2 linked regions of the Caenorhabditis elegans genome follow. The protein of the gene in region 2 interacts with the protein of the main gene of each other region in a pairwise test. Each region holds a gene or a part of one and is shown on either strand. Other genes may lie near its edges.

Region 1 (3,360 bases), on a different chromosome or scaffold from region 2:
CAATTGAACAATTTTATTTGAAACATGCTCTTGTTTTTTAGTTAATTAATTAAAACGGAAATTTTTTGTTGATGAATTCATTTATATTCTTTGCTTCAATAAACAAATTTTATTTGAACATGTTCTTGTTTTTCAGTTAATAAAAACGGAAAAAACTACAGAAACTATAATAACATCAGAGGGCGAATGGTTGTGACGGCTAAGCTTCTTTTTAGAGATATCTCTTCGTCGAACCTCTGTTATCTATCATTTCCATCTTGCGAAAAATCATTTGCGTCTTGAAGAGTGCCGAATAAAAGAATCAAATGAATGCTAGTATTCTAGTGTCGCTTTAGTGTAACGGTTAAGAGGCTTAAGTTGAGTAAAGAGTAAATTATCTCGGGTTCGAGTCTAAGTGCTAACTGATGAAAAAATGGGAAGAATAAAATAAATAAAAAAGATTGAGGGTAGTAAGCTCACAGAATTGGCTCACATAGTTGGCTTTTTATATCTAATTTTAATATCAAATGACAAACTGCCATATTTTAGAATCAATTTCTCCCTAATCTCCGAATCTTTAAAAAACACGAAATCAGTTTATGAATCAGCTAGCCACATAAAATAAGTTTTTACCCCAATATATATGAATTGTAATTGCATAAAACATTTATTCATCGTAAAAATATCATACAAGTACAGTTTTGAAAAAGTTTTAGAAGCGGATGTTTTCAGAAAATTGTGTAGCACAAACAGCAGGAATGGAATTGTTTGATTATGGTCTTTAATAATTACATATTTAAGTATGTATATCATAATTAAAGTTGGTCAGCAAATTCAAAAAATGATCATAATTAAAGTGAAAAAAAAACAAATTATTTCCAAACGTGCATTGTCAAATTATCAATATCAATGACAACAGTTGCCCGTCTTCCATCACATCTGTAGATATCTTTTGCGCATTGAATTTTATACGATCTCCGTGGAAGATTGTCTAAGTCCTCTGCACATGTATCTTTGTGGTTCACACCCTTAAAAACTTTATCCACACGGTTTCTTGGTACTTTGAAAAGAGCAGATTCGAGTCCATAAAATCCTCCGTTTATCCAATGCTTTAGGAATATGTTTATTTCATTTGAACTCATGCGCAGCATCACTTCTAAGTGTGCACAGTTGACACTCAGAAGATCAGTGAGCCCGGAGGCAACAGTCAAATTCTGGCAGTGTGAGCTCAACATTGAGCGGTACCCTTTGAAATCCGGAAGAGTGATTTCAAGGGAGCCACTGGAAACCTTATTGAAAAGCTTGTGGAGCCAAACATTTGTAGAGACACATTCTAGGGTAGTTCTAGGAATTTCCAAGTCGTTAAGAGCTTCATAAATTGACTTCCAATCGTAATCATCACTGCTGACCATAAAATACTCAACTTTATCCGTATGGAGTACACACTGAGAATGATCCAGAAATGTTCTCAGATCAACTTCCAGGGGATTCCAAGGAATAAAATGATAATAAGGACTTATACTGCAAGAAATAGTCAGTAAACATGTTACAATGTGGTTTAACTTACTTTAACTTGGCTTGAACTAATATATAAACACTTTCATTAATGTAAAGCCAAAAGGGGTCAGTCTGAAGATTCAATGATTCTGCTGTCCGTTTTGTAGATTTTGAAATGAGGGAGAACTTTATTCTGAAAAGAACAGTTTTTAATTGAAATATAAAAGAGCTCTTACATTTGTTCTAAAGTCAGACTTTGAATCGCTATTCTGAGAGATTTCTCAGGTAGTTGGAGGATCGGGAAAGAGGCGAAGGTAGTCATGTAAGAGAGAGAGAGAAATAATAATGAATGGTGGAAGACTTGATTTTCTACGTGGCGATCTCACAGCTGTCGATTTTGACTGACTGTGAGCACTTCAAAACACTCCCCAAAGACCAAGGGTCCTTTCGACTATCTCTATACATAAATGAGAACAAGAGAATGAGTATCGATATTCGAACGCTTGGCCATATATATTCAATCAATCTCCTATCCTGTTGCCACCTTCGTATTTTTTTTTCCTTTCCACAAAAGAATTCATTATCGATTATATGACGTCACCTCCTAGACTCCAACAATTCGGTCACTTCCCACTTGCCATGTATATAGAAAATCGATAATTACTCTTTTGTGTGCATTTTTATCTAGGCACATTCATTATTACCTTTTGTCCACCATAATGACTACTACCACCTCCTTCCCAATTCTCCATCTCCCTGCAAAGTCTCTGAAACATGCAATTTGCTGTCTGACTCCAGAGGAAATGTAAGGCGTATAACTACAATTTAATACGGTAAACATTTTCAATTATAGAATCAAGTTCTCTCTGGTATCCAAATCTACAAAACGGGCTGCAGAATCGTTGAACCTCGAACAAGACATTTATTCGATTGACATCGACGAAATTGTTAGTGTAAATGTGGAGTGTGACTTGTGAGTTTTTTTTTTAAATTAACTTATATTAACTTCCAAAAATACTCAACCTAGCTAATGATATGTTTTCAGAATCAAATGGAACCCATTGGAAGTCGATTTAAGAACTCTTATAGATCATATTCAATGTGTGTTTCACACAAATGAAGTCAGTCATTTGCTTATTAGCAACGACAATCACGACTGGAAATCCATACATAAAGCTCTTGACGGCGTGAACTGCTCTAGGACATCTCTGGAAGTCCATTCTCAGAACATCTGGCTCCAGAGAATTGTTAACCAGTTTTCCAGCTGTTTTCTTCAACTATTTCTTTCGAAATCCACTTGGTATCATCCGATATTAAGCGCACACCGAATTCAATTGAATCTTTTAATTCCCTCCACTGATTTTTCCTGTGAGCACCTACATGTAAACCAAAAAATGAGTTCAAGGGATTTGAACTTATTTTTAAAACGCTGGATGAGAGGAGAGTACAAGTCTCTTAAAAGCCTACGCTGCCATGTGGGATCTGAGGCGAGTGCGGATGAGATTTTCAAAGACGTAAAGTATAAGGAAGAGAATGTCAAAAGTGTAATACAATGGAATTGGGGATTTATGAAAGTCAAAAGAGTCATCTACCGATTTGATGGAACACGGGCGACTTGTGTTCTGAAATATGGATATGTAACCTTCGACGTTTTAAAGTGATTTTTTTAAAGATATTCTTGTAATATTTCTTCGATGAATAAATTTGTTGCTATTTTTAATGTGTTTCAAACACCAAATGCACAGAAGAGAGGAATTATCGATTTCCTGAGTGGCGATTTAGTAAAAATAATTTTTTAAAGTTCGTAGTCCGTACACTCAAAATAAAAAACTGCGTGACGTGTACTGCAGAAAACCTAATATTTAGGCCCCGCCTTTTTCTTGT
Region 2 (3,757 bases):
GCAGACCAAACCACGGATAAGCAATCCTATCTTCTGTCCACGTGCGCTTTGCCAAATAATCACCATAACCATATTATTGATTTTCAGAAGTTTCATAAAAAACTAGAGCACTTTCAAGTGTATATGGGTAATGAAGCACCCCACTAACTGTAAGGCAACGTTGAGGGTTCTCCGTACAATTGAATAGTAGAATTTGATACGTCAGAAGAAGGTAGGTACATAACATGGAAGTTATGCTGTCTGAAAACTAACATTTTGTCTGAAAATGTTTTGATTTTATTTTAAAAAACGTGTTGATACATACCTCAATTCCACCAAATCCTCTTGCATTCTGCCATGCAAACATATCAACATCCCACAAGTTTATGAACTTCTAAATACGAGTTTCCAGAACCAATCTCACGATGAGCCCTCAAAGTTTCTGAAGATAAAACTGTGAAGAAACTCTTAGTTACCAACTTTCCAGAATTTTCAAAATATTTTTTTGTAAAAACTATAACAATCAAATTGTTTACTACTCCAAATACAATAGATTCTGTATATTTTGCAGTGAGATGAAATTAGAAAAATCCTAAAGCATCAGTTCCATTTCGTTTTTTGATCAAACAACACATTATCAAAATCATCAGTCGGAATTTTTTCAGATGGATTAATCCAGAAGTTTCAAGAACCACGCCATCTGCTTACAATTTTGTTCTACGAATCAGTAAAAACCATTTTTCAAAATTTTCATTTTTATGAAAGAAGGTGTTTTCCAGGATTCAATCTTGGCATTACTGTAACGAATTATACTTTTGTTTGAAAACATGTTCAAATTATACTAATGATTTTTAGAATACAAGTATTTCAGCAACCTTTTCGCCGAAAAAACGCTTTTAACAAAATATATTTGGCAACTTTTGATAAAATCCTCTTTTGAAGTTACGAACATTATTGAATTCCACCACACATTTGTTTTGGTGAATTCTGAAAAAAAAATCGAATAAGATGAGTTTCAAAATAATTTTGCGGCCTTACTGTACTCAACAGTACTCATATCAATAACATATACAACATCACATATACAGTCTACAGTACTCATGTAGTACTTCTCCAGTGATTCAGCGGTTTAAAAAAAGTCTCACTATCCCAAACACCAACTTGAATCCCCCTTCTTCAACTGCTCTTCATGCCTTCCACTGCTTCTGATCATATCAATTGCTCTTCCAGAGACCTTTGGGCTCCTTGGGTCGGCACCGGACTGGTACCGCTGCCAGTAACACACAAAAAATGGACGCGGCCGAGGGCAGCAGAAAAAGTGCAGAAAGAGCAAGTAAAGCGAAGAGAGTGTAGACGCACTTTTTGTGCAGCAACACTGCCGTCGCCCCCAGGCAGTGCCAGCCATTTTTTCCCTCATGCGTCCCCCCGTGGTCTGTGGGGGTCACTTGCGCCCCCCCGGGCAATTCTGCCCTGGGTGTCCGCGACCGGTACCACCGCCGCTGAGAAGACGCCGCGCCACTGCTGATATCACTGAATGAGAAATAGTATGGAGAAGATGAGAGATTGCAGAGAGAATATAGAGTGTGGCTGCACTATTCTGGCTCTGTCTGTTCCTCTGTTCCTCTCGATTTCTCAATGCCTTTGCTTTTTTTTCAACGCACGCGTGTTCCCCCCTCCAGTTGACCTATGTTCTCTTAATTTTTTTCCTTTTTTTCTAGCGTTGCATATTATCAGTTATCACCTCCACCTCTATCCAACCACTTTTTTATTATAGACCCCGGCCTCACTGTTCCACAGCCTCCTGACCCGGTCGTGCCCGGACCTTGTGCGGCGCCAGACGCGAATGATATTCGGAGACACGGGCTGAATGGTTTCGTCGGTAGAGAACCACGTCATCCCGTTTTCGTCGTCTGCGGAGTTAGAACTGTATCAGGTAAGGTTTTTAGTTTTTTCTTTTTTTAACTATCAAATTGACTGAAATGAGAAAAGAACGGAAGGCAGGCAGGTCTCAGGCATGCACCAGGATCTGAAAACGCGCCTGCCTTCCACCAAAGCCTTAGTTTTGATTTGTTTGACTAGGAGGTCTAGAGTTCAGAAACTAACTATAAGGCCTCCGTGTCAGGAGTGTGGCAAATTTGACAATGGACTTTTTTAGTATTTGCCGAGCACGGCAAATTTGGCAAAATCAGCTAATCCACATTTTTAAAATTTGTCGGCTCGGCAAATTCGGCAAACGACAAACTCGGCGAATTTGACGCACACCCCTGATGTAGTACTTGCCGAATCGACCGAGCTCGGACAGTTTCCAGAATTGCCGGAGATCACTAGTTTCGTCCGTTGGGAGATACTGTAACTTCTAGATTATTAGTTATGAATGTCACTCTTCACTTTATGTCTATTTTCTCCATTTCTCCCATTTTTTTCTCGAACCTCCCACCTATTCCCCGTTGTGTCCCATCCGCCTGTTCGTCGTCGACCTTCTCTCCCTTCATCGCTTCCCAATTTTTTTTCTGTTCACCTCATACTGCGCGCATCTCCTCCCATGTCTACACTATTTTCATCAATTCATGGACATGTGCAGACAATTTCATGGGGGCTTTTTTTGCTAGAAGAATGAGCGTGCGCGCGCCAGCCTCGAAAAGGACGTTTTCGGAGCGGTTTTTCAGTTGGAAAAAGCGATGGAACGAGGTGAAGAAGAGGTCAAACAGATGGTGGTACTGTTGGATGAGAACAGCTGAATTGGAAGAAGGAGGAGGAGCTTGAGTTTTGATTAGTATGCTCTTATAGCTTCTAGACATCTATTTGTCCAAACAGGAAGAAAACTATCCGCCTAAATATTTTATCATATCGGTAAGAAACACCAAAACTTGAAAGTATTTCTGTTAGTCAGAAGTTAATAGATATAGGAGATAAGCTACCAAAATCTCTCTGAAGTCTGACCCCGATTACTGTAAATTTTGAACTTTCGTATCCCCAGACATCCACTTGTCAACAAAGGTCACTTTTTTGTCCCGTTCCTCCCAAGCCCATCCTGTGTATACACACACACAGTCACCTCAATCGTTCGCATAGTAAACCGAACATTTCAAATAATAATCGAACGACGCCTCTTTGGTTTTTTCATCGGTTCTTTTTCTCTCTAAATCTCCCCCGATTCCCGTACTATTCCCTCCCTCCTATTTCTCCATTCTCACCTCCCGGTCCGTCCCGCGTCCGAACGACCGAAGAAGCCCAGTGGCGAGAGACGTTTTTTGTAGGATTGTCTCTGTGTCTCTATGTTTTAAACGCTTTTTCTCGCCCAATGGTTTGCCGGTTTTTCTATGTTTCTTGTGTCGTCGTTTGCGTCCGGGCGCGCCGCCGAGTTTTTTTGACCTATAGTTAGATGTATGGGTGCACTCTTAGTTTAAGACACTATTTCGTCAGGGATGTAGATAGGCGGACGCTGGGGTTTTTTGAACAGGGATCGGGGGCCATACCACTCTCTTTTCTGTGTCGATATGTTCCCATTTTCTTCTCTTCTTCACTCTATTCTAACCTTTTTTGCAAACCTTTTTTATGACTTCGATAGGGAACCTACAGTGTTGTAAAGCAGTTAATACAGTAGTTCAGCATTTTTCAATTAATTTTCATTCTGGGAAAAATATAAATCAGCTTACAATATTTAATTTCTAGTAGTTTACACGTACCTTCTAATAATTGTTTGATATTTTCTCTTTAAGCATACAATCAGTGTGTTTTCTGTAGTTGATTATAAAAATAATATATACCAACTTGGCTC

What was found.
Region 1: the proteins of mab-10 (region 2) and fbxb-61 interact in a two-hybrid assay, tested with the Caenorhabditis elegans proteins (one large-scale study listed by BioGRID).

What each region holds. Positions count from the first base shown.
Region 1 is NC_003283.11:19,302,564-19,305,923, reverse strand, and holds fbxb-61 (F-box domain-containing protein), read right to left. Parts: upstream 1,801-3,360; 5' UTR 1,799-1,800; coding exon 1,713-1,798; intron 1,670-1,712; coding exon 1,547-1,669; intron 1,501-1,546; coding exon 852-1,500; 3' UTR 634-851; downstream 1-633. Other genes in the region: fbxb-63 (F-box domain-containing protein), read left to right, coding at 2,196-2,281, 2,330-2,449, 2,522-3,137.
Region 2 is NC_003280.10:10,526,336-10,530,092, forward strand, and holds the start of mab-10 (NAB transcription cofactor mab-10), read left to right. Parts: upstream 1-1,748; 5' UTR 1,749-1,912; intron 1,913-3,037; exon of another isoform or gene 3,038-3,463; intron 3,464-3,757. UniProt on the Caenorhabditis elegans protein: Transcriptional cofactor. Heterochronic protein, involved in timing of a subset of differentiation events during the larval-to-adult transition.